Notamacropus eugenii: one gene and its partner. The protein of the gene in region 1 interacts with the protein of each later gene in a biochemical or structural test. Links are inferred from orthologs where the notes say so. Each region holds a gene or a part of one and is shown on either strand. Other genes may lie near its edges.

Region 1 (10,016 bases):
CCTCAATTCCATTCAATCAACACTGATAAAGTGTTGATTCCAGGGCTCGAAGCCCTTTACTAGATACTGAGCATACAAAGATACAAAGACAAAAATGAAGCAATCTTTACCCTCAATGTGCTTACATTCTACTGGGGAGCAGGAGGAGACAAAACATATACACGGACAAATAAATACATTTCTAAGAGATGGTGAAGCCTATGTGACCATACTGCTGTGTGACTGAAATGACGTAAAGAGTTAAGAATTGAAATTGAGATGGGTAAATCATGTAACCAGGTTTTCACAAAGGTTGTCACTATGAATTTTTAAATATTCAGAGGCAATTATGGGGGAAATGTGAATTGGAAAATAGTAATCAACACAGGAAGGTTATTGAAAATATGATAAAAATGATTTCTAAATCAGTAAATTGGGGAAAAGGTGGTGTAAATTAATTGCATGAACTTAAAAGTCAGCAATGGTTAGACATCTGATACAAATGAAAGACTTTCTCCCCCAAGAGTTATTTCTATGGGCCCCCCAGAAATAACATGTAGTCATTTTACAAGTGAAAAAAACAACTGATCAGTGAAGTCCTCAGTGTAGGCAGTCAACAAACATTTATTAAGTATCTACTATGTGCCTAAGGGGTTGGGGGAGATAACACGCAAACAGCTATATACAAGTGAAATATATACCAGATAAGTTGGAGATAATGTTTGAGAGAAGGAGCTAAAAAGGAGGAGGGCTTAGGAAAGGCTTTTTGTTGATGGTACTTCCAGGAAGTCAAGGAAGCCAGGAGGCAGAGATAAGGAAGGAGAGTATTCCAGGCATAGGAGACAGCCAAGGGAAAGGTCAAGTGAGGAGATAGACTGTCTAGTTGGAGGAATAGCAAGGAGACCAGCGTCGATGGATCACAGAGCATGTAGTGGTCAGAAGGACAGTATAAAGTATAAGAAGATTGAAAAGTTAGAAATGGGAAAGGCTACGGAGGCCTTTAAAGGCCAAGTGGAGGATTTTATATTTGATACTGGATGCAACAAGGAGCCACTGGAGTTAAGTGAAAAAGAGAGAGGTGACATGGTCAGACTTTCACTTTGAGAAGGTCATTTTGACAGCTTGGACTTCAGACAAGGAGGTCAACCAGTAGGTAATTGCAATAGTTCAGGTACAAGGTGATGAGGGCCTACACCAGGGTGGTGGCAATATCAGAGGAGAGGAAAGAGCTAAAAGGAGAGATATTACAAATAGAAAAGACAGGACTTGGCAATTTATTGACTATAAAGGGTAAGAGAGATTGAGAAATTGAGGATAATACCTAAGTTGCAAGTCTGGGGGACTTGGAGGATGGGGATACTCTTGACAACAATAATTGGGAAGTTAGGAAGAGGGAAGAGTTTGGGAAGAAAGAAAATAAGTTCAGGTTTAGATAGGTTGAACTTAAGATATTTATAGGACATCCAGTTGATTTCCATGACGTTGGAGATGCAAGACTGACTAAAAGGAGAGATATTACAAATAGAAAAGACAGGACTTGGCAATTTATTGACTATAAAGGGTAAGAGAGATTGAGAAATTGAGGATAATACCTAAGTTGCAAGTCTGGGGGACTTGGAGGATGGGGATACTCTTGACAACAATAATTGGGAAGTTAGGAAGAGGGAAGAGTTTGGGAAGAAAGAAAATAAGTTCAGGTTTAGATAGGTTGAACTTAAGATATTTATAGGACATCCAGTTGATTTCCATGACGTTGGAGATGCAAGACTGGAGGTCAGGAGATAGGTTGGGGCTGGAGGATAGATCTGAAAATGATCTGCATAAAGATGTAACTGAATCCAAGGGAGCTGATGAGATCATCGAATGAAATAGTATGAGGGAGAATAAATGAGTGCCCCAGTCAGAGCCTTGGGGGACATCTATGTGTAGCAAGCATGACCTGGACGAAGCTCTAGGACAGGACACTGAGTACTGAGTCAGACAGATTGGAGGAGAACCAGGAGCATAGAATCACAAAAATCTACAGAGAAGAAAAGTATCAGGAAGAGGCTGTTCAATAGGGTCAAAGGCTGCAAAAAGGCCAAGTAAAAGGTCATTAGATTTGGTGATTAAGAATAGATTGTTAGTAAATGGAGAGAGCAAGTTCAACTGAACAATAAGATCAGAAATCAGGGTACAGAGAATTAAGAAGAAAATGAGAAAAACAGGAGTGGAAGCACTGGCAGTAAATGAATTGCTCAAGTCGTTTAGCCACAAAAAGGTACTCATAGATAGATAGTTGGAAGGGATTGATCAAGTGAGAGTTTTTTGAGGTTTGGGGAGACATGGCATGTTGGTAAGCAGTAAAAAAGCAGCCAACAGACAATAAGAGACTGAAGATTAGTGAGAGAATAGGGATGACAGAGGGATGACAAAGGGGAGTGACCTGCTGGAGAAGATGGAATGGAATCCTTGTATATGTAGAGTTGTTTGCCTTTGAACAAGGGTTGCTTCATTATGTTAGACAGGGGTAAAAGAGGAGACAATTGCAGAACGGATCTGAGTGATTTGAGGTGAGGAAGAAAAGAGAAGAAGCAAATGTCTGACATTATTTCTTGTGGAATATGGAGAAAGAATCTCAGTTGAGAGGACAGAGGAAAAAATCTGTTGAGAGAGGAAATGTTTATAAAAGTTGCTGTGGTGAGTGGGATAGTGAGTCACAATGATTGCCTTGCTCCACTGACCTTAGAGGTCAATCTAGTCCAAACCCTAATTTACAGAAGAGGAAACTGAGGGTAGGGAGGGTAAATAACTTGTCCAAGGTCACATAGTTTGTTCATAACATAGGTCATAATGGAACCCAAGTCCAGCACTCAGTCCACTACACCCTGCTGGCCTTCTAGTTGTCCAAGGTCACAGAGTAGAGTAGTCAACCCACAGAATCATAGATATCAAGCTGGAAGAGATCCTCTCTCTTATTTTACACATGGGGAAACTGAAGCCCACAGATGTTAAGTGACATGGAGACCACACAGGTAGAAATAGCAGAATCAGGACTGGAATCCAGGACCTTTGACTCCAGACAGCATGCTTTCCAGTGTATCACCCTAACTCTCCCCTAGATCTGAAACTCCTCCAATCTCCAGTTCTTTCAGCTCCAATGAATTGCAGCCTTCCAAAACTGTCCTGCTTAAGAAATACTGGGTATTGAGAAAATAAATATGAATCTCCCTAATCAAGGAAGTGTAGGAAAGGAAAATGGAAGGAGGGAGGGGCTCTCTGATGTTAACAACAAATACTCCTATTTATAACTTAGCATTTATATATCACTTTAAGGTTTGCAATTTGTTGTTGTACAGCCATACAGTTGTGTCTTACTCTCTATGATCCCCTGGACAATATAGCATGCCTCTACTATCCTCTACTATCTCTTGAAGTCTGTCCAAGTTTGTGTTTCTTGTTCCCATGACACTATCTTTCTCTCTCATCCTCTGTCATTCCCTCCTCCTTTTGCCTTCAATCTTTCCTCACATCAGGGTCTTTTCTAATAAGTGCCATCTTCTCATTATATGGCCACAGTATTTAAGCTTCAGCTGCAGTGTTTGACTGTCCAGTAATAACCTGGATTAATTTCTTTAAACATTAACTGATTTGACCTTCTTGTTGTCAAGGGACTCTCAAACGTCTTCTCCAGCACCACAATGGAAAAACCTCAATTCTACAGAACTCAGCTTTCTTTATAGTCCAACTCTCACAGCCATAGATCGTTACTGGAAAAACCTGAGCTTTGACTATCTTGGACCTTTGTAGGAAAGGAGATATCTCTGCTTTTGAGCATGCTGTCCAGAGTTGTCATAGCTTTTTCTTCCAAGGAGCAAAGGTCTTTTAATTTCATGGCCTCAGTCTTCAACTTCAGTGATCTTTGAGCCCAAGAATAAAAAAAAAAATAAGTTTGCCAAGCACTCTACAAATAGTATCTCGTTTTATCTTCATAGCAATTCTGGGAAGAAAGTACTAGAATGATCCCTGTTTTACAGATGGGCACACTGGGGCACGCAGAGGTTATATGAATTAGTTGCCAGCTATAAAAAGGCCAAGGCTGAACCCGTCGTCCTTACTCTATGCGATGCTCTGTCCACTGTGCCAACCAGTTGTCCCAGAGAGGTCCGAAACGACCGTGTGATCTGGGGGCGCAAGGGAGACGAGTGGAAGAGGATGCACCCCAGGGTGGGCACCCAGCCCGAGCGCCTGGGTCCAAATCCCGGCTAAGAAGGGAGGGAGGAAAAAGGGCATGAGGGCATCGCTCGTAGGGAGACGCCTTTGCCAAGGGGCCCAAAGGGAGACAAGCAGGGGCGCAAGCTGGCGGGAATGGGTGGCTTTACAGGTGGGGGCGGTGAGCAGACCTGCGCAGGTACGCGTAGATGCGCTGCTGTGTGACCTCGGGCCCACCCTTAACCTCCTGGGCTTCGTCACGGGGTGGGGTGGGGGTGGACAAAATGACCCCCAAGTCCGCCTCGGCGCTACCCCCACCACGCTGTGACGACGACTCTGGGTGTGACCCCGGGGCTGCAGAGGGGATGGGGGGAGGGGGTCCTCTCTGTCCCGGGGACCGCCCTCGCCAGTGCTTCTGTGACTCTGGGGGTGTCAGGGCTAAGTCAGAGCCGGCTGCCCGGCCTGTGCCCCCCTCCCCCCAGGGAAAAGCCCCCGGGTCTCTCTGACGAGACAAAGGCCCCAGGCTGAGAGAAGAAGGGGGTCTGTGTATGGGGTGGGAGAGAGGTGCGTGCGCATGCGCCGGGCGCGAGCGCGCGCGCCTGTCCGTGCTGGGAAACCCAGGCGCTGGGGTGGGTGAGGGAAGGGTTGGGGCTGAGATTCCCAGGGTGGGGAAGAGGGAAAGAGAGAACCACGGCAGGGAAAGGAAAGAAGACTGGCGGCAGGGGCAACGGCGTGACCCGAGGGCGGGGCTCCCGGCCGCTTGAGGGCTCCCTCTGGCGGCCGGAGGAGAAGGGAGGGCCCTTGAGGCGGGGAGTCGCGCTTGCGCTGGCTCTGCGGCTCTCCACTTGCTGCCTGCTCTGGGCCCCCGCCCCCGCCCTCCTGCTGCCGCTGCCGCTGCTGCTGCTGCTGCTGCTCCTGCTGCTGCTGCCGCTGCTGCTGCTGAGTTACTCCGTTCGCGGGGAGGCGCCGTGGTCGCGCTCTCTGCTCCTCGGCTGCGCGCGCCCGCTCTCGCCCGCTGCTGCCCACCTCCGCCCACCTGCCACCGCCACCCAGCACCACCGCGTCCGCCACCGCCGCCACCTTTTCCGCGCTCCGCACTCCCCTCGCACCGGCCGAGCAGGTAAGCGCGGGGCTTCGGCCAGCTGCTCCCCAGCCCCCAGTGCGCCTCTGCGCCCCCTCCTCGGGCTGGATGGCTGAGCGCCCGGCGGGCAGGGAGGGATGCCTTTACCTAGCGCTCTGACCCCCACCCCACGGCCGCAGGCTGCGCACCCGCGTAGGGGAGAATGGCAGGGTTCCTCTGGCGATCCACAAAGGGAAGCGTGTGTGGAGAAAGGAAAAAAGGAGTTACGGCGTCCAAGCCTTTGCGTGAACCTGGAGAGCGAGGTGTTGAATGCACAGGGTGGGGCGCCGGTTGCGGTGACCTCGGAGGAAAAAAGGGAGGGGGACTTGCCATTCCCCTCCCCCATACCACTTGCCGCAGTAGGGCGAGGGGCATCTTTTCCGATGCCAACGACCAGGAGGGGGTGGGGCCCTGGGGTGAGGATGAGGGAGAAGAAATTTCCAGTCTCCCAGGAACCTGCCTCCGATTTCCCGTTTTGCGTACCGCGCTCAGGAGGGCGTGGGGTGGATTTTTCACCAGATGCCTCCCCACCCCGAAGTGGGCTTCGGGGGAAAGGCTTACTAGGGTCCCCACCCCCAACCCGGCTTTCTTTCCCAGAATTCAGGGGACATGTTGGCTAAGGTGGAGTGGATTCGCCTAACTGGGAGGGGTCTCTGGATGGATGGATGGATGGATGGATGGATGGATGCAAGTTTATCCTCAATTCCTATTCTCCCTGTGTCCAAAACTAAAAATCAAAAAGCAGATGAATGGTGAGGTTGACGTTTCTTGAGGGGGGAAGGTTTTTTTTTTCTGTTTCACTCCCTCCCCCCCCCAAAATCAGGGTGTGTGCGTGTGTGTGTGTGTGTGTGTGTGTGTGTGTGTGTGTGTGCGTGTCCAGCACCGCGGCTGCGTCCCCGCCTTGGTCACTCGGAAAATCGAGCTGCTTTTTTGCAGACGTCAGTTGCCGCACTCAGGGCTGCGGGCTGCAAGGTGCATTTTCAGAGGACGGGTTTCTTTCTCTTCCTTTCCCGGGTTCTCGTTCCTCTCTTACCCGCAGCGGGTAGCGCTGTCCGTTCTGTAGCCGGCCCTTACGCCGTGGCCGTGATGGCGGTGAGGGCTTGCCTCTGGATGCTGCAGTAGGTGTGTATCTGGAGGGAGGGGGGAAGGGAGGAGAGGGAGGAGGGAGGGGGGAAAGGATGGGCTTTCTCCCTCTTCTCTCTTTTTCAAATCGGTGGTGCCATATTTTGCAGTCTGACATGTCCTTATAAATGCCGTTGTGATATCCTTGGCATATACCCTGTAGAGAACAGGATGGCATGTGGTGATATGGTTAAAAGCAAGACGGGGGAAATCTGCTGTGAAAGCTTTACATTTTGCTACCGCAGAATGACCTTAGGGAACGTGCGCTGGGGAGAGTGCCGCTTTGTGTCTCCCTGTTAAATGGTTCGTGTTTCCCCGCTATGGTTTTAAAATTTCGTTTGATTGAGAAGTGTGGTGTCTACCCCGAGCATCGCCACCCCACCTAGTCCCGAGAAGGTGCCACTAGAATCAGCAGGCTTTTGTCGAATCGATTTTCCCCCTTAATAACCGAGGAACCAACGTGACAGCGGCGATGGCAGGGATACAATAGACGCTTCTTTTCGCTGTTTCCGGGCTTTTCTGAGAACGCGTCTCCAAATTCCCAGGGAGGGTTTTCTTTTCCCACAGTGTATGGGAACAGCAAAGGCTCTGCTGGCCGCCGCGCGGCCGGGACTACGCCCCTTTTAGGACCGGGCACGCGCAGAGGCTAAAGTGGACCACCCAGGCTGGTTAGGGTAGGCTCACAGGTGCTCCCTCACCCTCAGGGAGGCTGCTTAGGGTTGGAGAAAATGACGAAACAAACAAACAAAAACCATCCCTGTGCCTTGCGGGAATTGCCTGTCTGCGTCGTTCCTTCGGTGCCAGGAGCTCCCATACCCGCACGCGCCCTGGCGCACAGTCCCGCTAGTTCATTCCCGGGCCGGGGCACTATCCCGTGGCCACCACGCCTCGCGGCGCGCGCGCGCGTACACATCCATGAGCGCGCGCGTGCACACACCCTCTGCATGTTAATCCACACACAGACCGAAAGGGTCCTGCTCCGCTCGTTTGACAGATCCATGAGGAAAACTAGCATGTTTGCGCGTGTTGCGCAGAGGCATTCCTGCAGGTGCGAGCGTTGTGTGATAGAGAGTGCTCTTCTGGTCCAGATGCCCATGAACAACCAGTGCTTAGGAACTGAGCTGAAAAACGGCAGGCCTTTTTCTGAAAGAGGATCAGGGCAAGGAGAGATTGATGGAAATGGGAGAAGATTGAGTAGGAAGGACCCCAGGCTTCTAGGATTTCCTTCTTTAGGGATAGAGTTGCAAAGAATTGGGGAGGCATCTCGAGACTTCATTGGAGATGTGGGTTCTGCTGACTTTGGGAGCAGCACCCACCAAGGAGCTCACCACAATCATGGAACATTGACTGGGGTCGTAATGGGATAGATCGTGGACAGATCTTTACAGTAAATTAATTCAGAACAAGCATTTATTTTTAGAGTGTCTTTCTCCCCACCCTCCCAAACAGCCTTCCAGGAGAACTAGTGAGGAGGTCAAGACCTTTTGCAGTCTTGTGACATTAAAGATGGGTGGGGTGACATCAGGGAGACAGCCACCAGGGGGGAGCAGTACAGATGCAGCATCTACATCAGCAGCTTCTCCTACATGATTCTTCCCCTTCCATGTAGGAAATTAAGAAAGAATAAACACTGCCTTTTTAAGGAAGGGATTTGGTGAGGTGGAGAATAGGAAGGAAGTATGGCCTGAAGTATTATACTGTCCACTTTCTAAATTGATCTGAACATTCACTCTTGGAATAACTTAGCCCTCCCATCTCCAGCAGAGGCTAAGGACAAAGATGAGAGGGAGGTAAGGGAATGAAGGGACTTTAAGTGGTTTCCACCTCATCCAGCCCCACTCCCACTCTGTGAATGTGGGGAACTAATCAAAGTTATTTCTGAAAGCTTTTATCTAACAAAGAATGAGGATTATTCTGGTGATACCAGTCAGATGTTATCCCAGTGAAGATGGATTTTTGTAGCTATGACAGGCTATTACTGAATGGAAATGTTCTCAGCTTGCGTCTATTTGACGACTAAGGAGGAATGGAAGGGCCTAATACCTTTTAGTTCACCAAATCCTCAATCAAATCGTGGGTTGGCTAAAATGCTGCTCCGTTTTGAAATACCTCTCCAAGTGTGTGAGTATTGATTGGCAAAGATTAGGACAGCTGTCCATAAAAAAAAATAATTCTGATGATTGTTTAAAATATGATTAAAAAAACATTTTATGACTCTTTAAAACTGAACTTTGTTGAAGGATTTGTAATGGACTAGATTGCATTTCATTTCCTAATTACGGGATTATTACTATGTAATTTTGAACTTCAGGCTTCAAATGACTGAATTTTTTTTTCACTTTCACCAAATGAAATGGATAATGAAATAATCAGGATATTATTTAGTCTTCAAGGCAAGCCTGAGATATGTTAGGCTGAAACAACTGTCTTGTGGCTGCTTACCAGGGTCAGAGGACCTCCACAGGGCCTTAGGATGCCAAGCAGTTGAGCAGAATTTCCAAGAATGTTAGGGTAATTCTTTTCCTCCCCATCCTTAAAAAATTTGAGAAAGAAAAATACAGGTTACCCAGATCACTGGATTAATACCCAGCTGTCCTCCTAGTTTGTTCAACATGGCAATAACAGGTCTCTGCTTTTGTGCAAAGGGCCATTACTTTGAGAAACACGATTGACTTCCCTCCTTTTTTTCCTGCCTTTTAACGTCATGTTGTACTCCCTGAGAAAACTGCTGTTCTCCTGTAGAGTTCATTTCTAGTTAACTGTGAGTGACATTCAAATTAGTAAATACTCTATATGTTTCAGCTAGATAACCTCTATGATAGAAATATTTTTTTTTTTAATCTTCCATTTTAAAAGGTAGTTTAAGAAAGGTTTTGGTGAGGAACAACAATTTTTTTGTAATCCTGGGATTTCATTTTATGTACTATCTCTTTAAATTTCAGTGCTGCTTATATGGGGTTTCCTAAAAGTCTTATTGCAGGTCTAAGCTTTTACAGCTGTATTTACTCTCATCCTTTCTTATCTGGTCCTTCTGAATTTTATTCCTGCCTTTCCTTGCTTCCTTTACCACCATTCTTAATTCAACTCTTCATTTCTAGTAACAGTTCTCATGCAGCTGGCTACTCATTTTCCTATCAGGTAAGTTTCATGTATCCATTAACTTGTTTTTAATTTACCATCAGGCCATTCCCATAGAGGAGAAGGAGGATGCATCAGTTTATTTATATATGCTCCTAATGAGGTGACTGACAAATGTTTTGTAGTTTGAGTATCTTTCCTAGTTCTCAAAGAGCTATCAGCACAAATGGAGCCTGGAAGGGTGTGGTTTTTAAATGACTTCTATTAAGCATGCCTCTTCAGACAAGGACAAAAGAAACACATTTCAGAAAAACTGTAAGAAGAAAACGTGTTTTGATTTATTAAGATTCAGTTGTTTTAGGTCATGAGAAGAGGTATATAGTAGCAATTTTCATTTTCTTTTGTTTAAATATATCGACATATTAGTCCCCTTCCTATTAGATTACATCATCCATTAAGTAAGGGAGCTTCTCCACATTCCCTTAGCACAAATGTGCTCATCCAGTTTACTGTGTCATCTAGCTCT
Region 2 (9,914 bases), on another chromosome or scaffold:
GCTGCTAAATTCTGTGTGAACATGATCATGGATCAGTTCTTGGTTTTTTTCTTTTTGGCTGCTTGTAGTATTTTGTGGGGGGTGGGGGTGGACCTGGAAGCTCTGAATTTGGCTACGATGTTCCTGGGAGTTTTCATTTTGGGGTTTTTTGGGAGGTGACCAGTAAATTCCTTTTCTTTCTACTTTGTCCTCTGGTTCTAAGAGATCTGGGCAGTTTTCTTTTTAGATTTCTTGAAATATATCTGGTTTTCTGACAGTCCCTTTATTATTAAATTGTTTGTCCTCGATATATTTTCCAAGTCAATTGTTTTTGCTGTGAGATACCTTATATTGTCTACTATTTTGTTCAGCATTTTGACTTTGTCTTCATATTTTTTGTTGTCTCAGAGTCACTGGCTTCTTTTTGGTCCATTCTAACTCTCAGGAAGATTGTTACTTAGGCAAGGTTTGTATCTCTTTCACCAGGTCATTAATGCATTTCATTCTTTCTTCCATAGTTCTCATTTCTTTTCCATTTTTTTCTTGTGCACACTCATTCCATCTATAAAAACATTTTAACTCTTTTTTCTAAACTCGCTTCATTTTTTTCAAAGAATTCTAGTTAAGTTTGTGCCCAAGCTGCGTTTTTCTGCGAAGCTTATTTATAGATATTATGGAGTTATTCTCTTCTTCTAGGTTTCTGTCTTAAGCATTCTTGTCACTGTAAAAGCTCAATATGGTGGGCTTCTTTTTGTTTGCTCATTCTTTTAATCTGAATTCAGACTTGATGTCTGGGTGGGGCTCTGCCATACATCTGGAAGGAAGGTTTAGGGTGGTCTCTTTCTTGGTGGCATTAAGCGTTGTATTAGTCCAGGATCCTAGGGATAGGTTGGGGAACTTGCTAGCTTTCAGCACACCAACAAATGATTTGTGACTTTTTTTAGATTTCCCCATAAGGATTCAGTCTAGTGTATTTTTTAGATGTTTGGAGAGATTTATAGAATGGAGCTCATCACACTGCTTTCTATTACACTGCCATCTTGGCTGACACTATCATGCTGGTAAATATTTAACAACCAACTCTACCTCCCCCTCCAAAAAAAGGTATGCATGATGTACTTTTTAAGTTTATTCCCCCTTAATACTAGTGCCTTCCTTCTGTAGATTAGCTCTAATTTATTGTGTACATATCTTGTTTGCATACAGTCAGGGGTGTGCTGATCAACATTTAATAATTGGCTCTCCCAAAAACTGTACACAGGATCCACTTTTAAGTTTGATCTACATTATTAACATTTTCTCCAACACTTTCTTAAGTCTAGACAATCCACAACAATAACAAAAAATAAATCCAATGGTAGGTTTGTAGTTTCACATGCAATCATCTTTTTTTTGTTATACCGATATGGCAATACTTGTTTTGTTCCATGAATTGAAAATAAAATAAATTTGTAATACAAAAAGCTCCCAATAAATCAAGTGCTGATTTGTAGTGTTCGCTGAATTCCAAAGCATAAATGCTCACACTAAAAAGTAAACAATTAGCTCTCTGGAGCTGTTACAAGCTGGCTCCAGCACACTCCTGTGTATACTTGTTTTCATGTTGCTTCCCCCATTAGGATATGAGAGGAAGAACTGTTTATTGCCTTCCTTTGTATCACCAGTGCTATTAGTGACTAGCACACAGCAGGAGCTTATTAAATGCTTATTGACTGACTGACTAATAATGTACTCTAGGTATCGAGATGATAGACTATAGGTACAGAATTAGACAAATATTTTCAGATACAACCTAATTTGTTTTGCTTGAGCATACTTATTTGTTATAAGGGAAGGATTTTATTTGGGTAAAGGGAGAGATGCAGAAGAGAAGAGAGATAGTCATAGGGATGCAAAACAAATTTATTATGTTTTAATAAACAATATGTTTCTATCAATTTTGCAAGTCTTAAGAACTCTGATCAACAAAATGGCCAGCCACAACTTCAGAGGTCTCATGATGAAACAGGCTACCCACTTCCCCATAAAGAGGTAATGAATTCAGAATGAAAACTGAGACTTTTTTTTGGGACCTAGATAATTAGGGGATTTGTTTGTAACAGGGAATTTTGCATTTCTTGCTTTCTTAATGGGGGTGGAGGGAAAGTAGAAGGGAGCCTTTAATGGGAAAAAAGAATTTAAAGCAATCTCTTCATGATTTCATAGCCAAACCTTTTTCTGGCCGTTTTCACATAATGGAAATATTTCCATTTTTGATTCAAATAGGATGGGGATGGACCTGACTATGGTTGTAAGTAATGAGGGAGGTACCAGTAAACAGAGAAGCGTTAAAGTTTAAAAGGAAGGAATGTTTGGGCAAGATTCTGGAACAGATAGAAAGGGATGCTGATTGTTGGCACAAGTAGAGAGACTGTTCTTAACCACAAGTGAAGTGAAGTTGTATGTATGTGTGTGGGTTGGTGTTGTGATATAGAGAAAAAAATAACAGAACTCATAAAAATGATCTCAATTTTCCAGCAAAAAGTTACAAAAACATTTGCTGAGAGAGAGAATAGAAATGATGTTGGAGGCTTGAAGAGAGAAAAGAAAGTTTGGAATAATCACTTAGGAGAATAAAACAGAAAAAGTGAATTGAAGAAGAATAAAAAGTTTGCTGTACAGCAATAAAATTAAATCATTTAAGTCTTTGGTGGATACAGGACAGTATCAGAGCTGCTGCAGCCTCCCAGGCCTTGCCAAACAAAGTGAAAGCAGAAGAATGGACACTAGGAGAGACTGCCATTGCCACTGCCACTGCTACAGTGGCAGCCAGATCAGGGGGCTTGGCTTGAGACTTCTGGAGCTGAGAGAGGAGACCGTTGCCCTGCTTTCCCTCCCCAACCCCACCTGTCTTCCGAATATCAGTACTCTGCTACTGCCTGTCTGTCCCACCCACCCCCCTCCTATCTATGTCCCCAAAGAACCTCATGTGTCTTCCTGCCCCACCCCCTTCTTCCTTTTGGTTCTGGCCAGGCCTTCACGTGGCTGGCCGCTGCCTGCTTTTGTTTCACTCGCATTACCAATAAAAAAAAGAAAGAAAAAAATGGTTTTACAGAAGTCTGCAGAACAGGAGTAAAGCAAGAACTGTCTGTGTACCAGATAATACAGAATGACAGAGCTCTCCCATTGGGAATAAGGTAATTCAGCTTAACCAAGAGAGATGGTGTTGTATCTCACCCAAGAGGAAACTCTCCAAGGTCTCTAGAGTAGCAAGCTAGGAACAGAGACATGACCGAGACTTCTTGCTCCTGTCATGTCTTCTCAGCCTTTTCCTTCAGCAGCCTGAAGTGAAGTTAGCCTTTTTCCCTTTATCTCTCAAAGATGGAAGACAACAACACTAGAAGAAAACATGAAACTTGACCAATACCAATCCCTGAAGACTCCTGAAGGGGGAAGTCCCAAAGAGGGAAGTCCCAAAGAGGGACACCGGTTTGAAAAGTCCCCATAGAAGGACTGAGAACTGATGCTCTCTTGCCTCTCTTCTCTACCAATATGGAGAAAGTCCCATGCCAATGGTCTTGGGACAAGAATTGTACCCACTAGTGCTGGTTTTAATTTCTTTCACCATCACCACAGATTAAAGGGTGGACTCCTACAAATAGCAGCCCTGGAATCTGACTACCCAAATCTACTACTACACACCTATATGGCAGACTGGGAGGCCTAATATGAATGCCATGAATCACTCTGCACCTTGCACCTTGAAATAGCAGACAGAAAGTATTTCTTAAGGTCAAAGGAAAAGGAAATAAGAAACCATGAAATCTGTATATTTGCATGTAGACTTTGTCATTTCCCAGTGTTTCATCAATCTCTTCCTGAAATTCTGGGGGCCTCCTCCACTCACCACAGTGGTAAAGCCACTGTACAAATAGCTACTTTAAAAAGACAGAAAATTATAATTAGAGAGGAGAATGCTAGTGTTCAGAATCATGGAGATGACATCATTATGGGTGATGGTGGGAGCTAAGGTATGACCCTCTCTATGGCTGGCTAAGGTGGAAAGATTGTAGATCATGACAGCTGAGGCAACTGATAAGCAAGATAGGCAGGGTTTTGAGAGGACATCAACACCTATATCACAATATAAAGGCAGAGATTGGGGTGCAACCAATAATGATCAAGATACTTGAGAAAGAAAGGAAAGTGACCTGGAGGATGGTAGATGCCAGAAATCAAACTCTGGATGGGGTAATACAGATAGCTGGAATGAATCTAAAAGGAAGAATGGTTACTGAATGCCAACTTCTTCTCCTGGCCCAATATGGTAGGTTGCCTAGGAGAAGAAACACCCAGTGTTGAAAGAGTAGCCAAGAATCAGTCTTTTAGAAAGAGGCAGGTTTCTGTGAGATCCTGATGGAAAGAGTGAAATAAGAAATCTAGAAGGAAAGGAAAATTGTTAATCAGTAGAGATTTCAAAGAGCACAGTGTAAAGGAGGGCAAAGGAGGAAAGGTACTGAGGAGAGCTAAGTGGAGATGATAATATGGGAACATTATTTTTCACCTTAGGGGCAATAACTCTGAATTATGAGTATCAGAGAAACAGATACAAATTTGCTAACTATTGTGCCTAGAGAAGTACCACTTGTTTGGGGCTTTTGCCCCATAAGTTGGTTGTATTCTAACTCCAAACACTGAGGACATAAAGGTGGACGAGATAGCAGTGTCCCAACCAGAGATCTAGCCACTCAGAAACTACACTAAATTCAAACGTGCCAACAGCTCCATAGCTATGTTCTAGAATAATAAGAGATGATGAGACACACTGAGAGGATCTCACACATGGAACATCCATCACACCCAGAAACTATCCATCCACACATGGAATAAGCATTTATTAAGCTCTTACTATGTGCCAAGCATTAGGGTAAGTGCTGGGAACACAGAGAAAGGCAAAAAAGCCCCTGCCCTCCAGGAACTAACATTCCAGTGTGGGAGGCAGCAAGTAAATAGGTACACACAAGAGTAAATAGAAAGTAACCTAAGAAAGAAAGGCAACTGAGTGGGAAAGCAGAGAGAGAAACTGGTGTTTGAGCTGAATCTCCTAGGAAGTTGGGTTATCTTAAAGGTGGAGGAGAAGGAAGAACAGCATTCCCAGCGCACAGAACAGCCAGTTTACAGGCAGACATTTGAGATGGGGGATGGGAGTGCAATACGTGAGGTCTAGCCAGCTGGCCAATATGGCTGAATCATAGAATGTGAGACAGGAAGTAAAGCATAAAAACACTAGAAAGGGAAGGAACCTGCATGGGAAAAATCTCAATGCCATACAGGAGACTTTACATTTTATCTTGAAGTTGACAGTCCCTGGGGTTTCCTGAGTGGGAGTTAGAGGGACAGGATGAGGAGGGTGAGGGAGGTCCAGACCTATGATTTAGCAAAGTCACTTGGTTCTTGGCTGAGTCTGGCTGTCTGCTGGAAGAAGACACTAGATATAATGTCTAAAATTCACATTTCAGGATGGAGCCGAGCCTTTGTCCGAGATCTCAGTTTGGGGGGGGGGGGGTCCAGGAAGAAAGTGTTCAGTATTACGCAAGATAGGGAGAGATGCTGTGGACATGGGGTACAGCAGACCTGCACAGGCCAGGGCTACATCTGTATATACCGCCCGCTTTGCAGCCTTGTTTTCCCCGCAGTATTGGCCTTCCTGATGGCTGCGGGTGAGGCCCTGCTGAGTTAAGGGCTTCAGTGTCTGAGGGCAGCGTGCTTACCGAATTATTATAAATTCAGGGTTTCCATTGAGCGTCTGGGGCTTTTGATTCGGGGCATCTTTGTAATGTCCAGGTCTCTGAGCCATAAAGGAACGGAGCTCACCAGACACTGAAAGGAGGGGGCCTGCCTCCCTCCGGGCCGCAGTGGGGGTGGGAGCACGCCGGCCGCTCCCCGCCTCTGCAGCCGCAGCTCCCCGCCCGGGCGCGGGGTTGCAGCAGGGGCCTGGCTCGCAGGGGGAGGGGCTGGCCGGTCTGCCGCGTTAGCCCCGCCCTTCCCCGCAGCTGCCATATAAGCGGCTCCGGCGCCTCCCCCGCCTCAGTGAGTTACTTACCTCGACTCTTAGCTTGTCGAGGGCTGTAACGAGAGCCCGGCTACCCCTGCTCTGCCGTCTCAGCCGCTGCTTAACCCGCGACCACCATGGTGAGAGGCCGGGGCTGGCTTGGGGCTGGGTTCTAGGTCGGACGGGAAGCGCAGGAACTGGGAGTTCAGGGCAGGAGGGGGGGTCCTGATGGGGCGGGGGGGACGGAACGGAGCTCAGAATGTGAGGCGAGGGCCCCACGCTGGGGCCTGCAGGGCGGCGCGGGGCTTCCCCACCCCCCGACTCGGGTAGCGAGGTGGGGCGCGCTCCGGCCTCCTGACCGCTGGCTGCGGTGGCTTTTCCCGCGCGCGCCCAGGCCGCCGCCCTCCTCCCCTCGCCCTCCTCCCCTCCCCCTCCCGCGTGCGCGCCTGCCGGCGCAGTCTTCGCGCCTCCATGCCGGCTTCCGCAGCCTCTCCCCGCGCTTTCTGGCGGGGCACGGAAGCCATCGCGCGCCCTCGAGCCCGCCAGCCCTCTGCGGAAGGCGCGCGCCCGCCCGGGTACGGCCCCCCTCCCCCGGACTGCGGCTCTGCGGACGTTCGGGGCTGCAGAGCCGCAGTGGGGAGGAGGGGAAGCCCGCCCGGGCTGGCTCTTTTTTTTCAACTTCTAAAAAACTTCATCTAATGAAAAATAGCGTGGGTGGCATGGCACCCCCCCGTGCCCCTGGCCCGGGCCGCATTAGGCGCATCGCTGCCATTCCAGGCCGGTCCTCGGAGACAATAGCGTGCCATGGCAGCGCGGCCATCTGTTCCTCCCTGCCCCGGCCTCCGCAGCCCGCTCTGCGCTAGGAATGCGCGGGGAGCAGGTGGTGGGAGGCGAGGGCAGAGGCAGGACGGATTCCACGGGCAGAAATCGGATCTGGCCCCAGATCTGGGCCGAGGATAATCGGGCCGGACAGATGTGGAGGCTGCGGGAGGGGTGGGAGGGGCCGGGCGGGCCGCAGCCTCTGCAGACGTGGACGGCCCCCGTGGTTTGGGGCGAGGGAGGTGGCATCGCCATGGCGCAGCGGGCTCAATAGCGCCTTCAGTCTTCTCCCCCTCCCCCTCCGTCGGAGGGCCAGACGTTTCCTCCTTGCAATTCTATCCTTGCTTCCTGTCTGCTGCCTGCTCACAAATCTGGCCTCGCCTGCAGAGGTGGGAGGCTGGACATGTGCGCAGGCAGGAAGCCGTGACTAAGCTCCATCTTTAGGCTGCCTGCTGCGGAGTTGCGGCAGAAAGGGGTTGGGGCCGAGGTACAGGAAATGGCAGCGTAGTCTCACCTACCAAACAGAATGACTGTACGGGGAGGGAAGGGGGTACTGATTTCAACGTGAAGTCAAAAGAAAAGCCGCTCCTTAGTGAGAATGAGCCCCCAAATTCTTTGTAGGGAGGGTTGTAGAGCCCAGGTGCCTTATTGATGACAAAGTGGGTGGCTCCAGGGAACTCAGATTGGGTGAAATGAAAGCAAAACTTGATATTTCTGCCAGGTTTTTCTTTCCCTTCCCTGCCATATAAGCTCCCATATTTTAAATATTGATTCCATAGAACTCCTTGGTGTCTATTGTTAATTTTTTTAAGTCTCTAGAAAGTTAAAATGTTTTGTAAATTCAATTAGTTATGAGGAGGACTTTGGGAATCCTGCGATTGGTACCAAGAATCGTGCAGATTTTTCTGTGATAGGAGACCCATTACAAAATTGCCTTTCTCTACTCTTGTCCCACAGCGTGAATGTATCTCTATCCACGTTGGCCAAGCTGGTGTCCAGATTGGCAATGCCTGCTGGGAGTTGTACTGCCTGGAGCATGGTATCCAGCCTGATGGTCAGATGCCAAGTGACAAGACCATTGGGGGAGGAGATGACTCCTTCAACACCTTCTTCAGTGAAACAGGAGCTGGCAAACATGTCCCCAGAGCAGTGTTTGTAGATCTGGAACCAACTGTCATTGGTGAGTCTAGCCATTAGCCCTAAAGGCCTCCCCAAGTTGTCACTTCTTTTTTCTTCCTATAACCATAACTGTGTTTGTATATTTCTTCCCCTAGATGAAGTTCGCACTGGAACCTACCGCCAGCTCTTCCATCCTGAGCAGCTGATCACTGGCAAGGAAGATGCTGCCAATAACTATGCCCGTGGGCACTACACTATTGGCAAGGAAATCATTGACTTGGTTCTAGACAGGATTCGGAAGCTGGTAAATATAAAGATAAAAAAGAAATAAATTTTAATCCTAATAGTTGTGATGGGTCAAGAATAGAAAAACATGGCAATTTTAGGAATTGCTTATGGTTATGCACAACAGTGAATTCTTAGAATAATTATTCAGCAATCAGACTAAACAGAAGATTTCAGATCTCACTAGAATAGACAGCCTGGACAGTTGTACTAAGCTAGCTTTCTTTAGATATAGGACTTTCGTTTTTTTTGTCAGGTATTCCCAATAGCTATATCCTCTCCAATAGAAGCCTATAGACTTCTGAAGTCTGATCTTCTTGTTCCTGGAAAATTCCTGAAAAAAACAATTACGCAATTGTAAATCCCAATATTTGGGAATGAGTCTTAAAATACCCATAATACTATCCATATTAATTTGACATCTTTGAGTTTAGACATATTGCCAGACTAGTCAATTTTTATAGCTAGGATTCTGTGAATTCCTGATTACCCTGAAGTGAGCATGAGACTTGATGTAGGTACAAATTAAACAAGACTCCTATGGGGTTGCTTTAGGAAGAGGGAACATCTTTCGGTGTTGTAGCCTATTGTCTGAGACCAAGGAAGCAACATTCTTTTCTGGTATCTACCTTTAGATCCCTAGGATTCTTACTCATGCCTAAGCAGATGTGGTTGTACCTAGTGATAGCTGTGCTTCAGACACTTTACTGAAGGAAACTAGAGATCATTTTGAGCTAATAGTTGTTCCTTTAATAAATTCAATAGATAAAGATCAGTTTAGGTCAGCTGGTGATATGGACTTGCCTCAGTTGACTGGGGGCAGCTTTTACTAGCTCAGTGTGGGTTGAGATATTTCTTAATAGTCCATGATCCAAAGGTTACAATATTGATAGCAGAAAATAAAAATAAAGTTAAGTATGTGGCATAGAGGGTAAGAATATAGCCTAGCACCTAAACTGACTCTTACTGTGATTTTCTTTTCCAACAGGCTGATCAGTGCACAGGTCTTCAGGGCTTCTTGGTTTTCCACAGCTTTGGTGGTGGGACTGGCTCTGGTTTCACCTCTCTGCTGATGGAACGTCTGTCCGTTGACTATGGCAAGAAGTCCAAGCTGGAGTTCTCCATTTACCCAGCCCCTCAGGTTTCCACAGCTGTAGTGGAACCCTACAACTCCATTCTGACCACTCACACCACCCTGGAGCACTCTGATTGTGCCTTCATGGTAGACAATGAGGCCATCTATGATATCTGTCGCAGAAACCTTGACATTGAACGCCCAACCTATACTAATCTGAATCGCCTTATTAGTCAAATTGTGTCCTCCATCACTGCCTCTCTCCGATTTGATGGTGCCCTGAATGTTGATCTGACAGAGTTCCAGACCAACCTGGTGCCCTATCCCCGTATCCATTTCCCTCTGGCCACATATGCCCCAGTCATCTCTGCTGAGAAAGCCTACCATGAGCAACTTTCTGTAGCAGAGATCACCAATGCTTGCTTTGAGCCTGCCAACCAGATGGTGAAATGTGACCCTCGCCACGGTAAATACATGGCTTGTTGCCTGCTCTACCGTGGTGATGTGGTTCCCAAAGATGTCAATGCTGCTATTGCCACCATCAAGACAAAGCGTAGCATCCAGTTTGTGGATTGGTGCCCAACTGGTTTCAAGGTTGGCATCAAT

What was found. The genes of interacting proteins can lie anywhere in the genome.
Region 2: the proteins of MAPT (region 1) and tubulin alpha-1B chain form a complex in vitro, tested with the Homo sapiens proteins (2 studies listed by BioGRID). The link is inferred for Notamacropus eugenii from reciprocal best matches to the Homo sapiens genes MAPT and TUBA1B.

The regions. Positions count from the first base shown.
Region 1 is NC_092873.1:346,977,050-346,987,065, reverse strand, and holds the start of MAPT (microtubule-associated protein tau), read left to right. Parts: upstream 1-5,162; 5' UTR 5,163-5,290; intron 5,291-10,016. UniProt on the Homo sapiens protein: Promotes microtubule assembly and stability, and might be involved in the establishment and maintenance of neuronal polarity.
Region 2 is NC_092874.1:221,010,419-221,020,332, reverse strand, and holds the start of tubulin alpha-1B chain, read left to right. Parts: upstream 1-5,892; 5' UTR 5,893-6,147; coding exon 6,148-6,150; intron 6,151-7,786; coding exon 7,787-8,009; intron 8,010-8,103; coding exon 8,104-8,252; intron 8,253-9,221; coding exon 9,222-9,914. UniProt on the Homo sapiens protein: Tubulin is the major constituent of microtubules, protein filaments consisting of alpha- and beta-tubulin heterodimers. Microtubules grow by the addition of GTP-tubulin dimers to the microtubule end, where a stabilizing cap forms.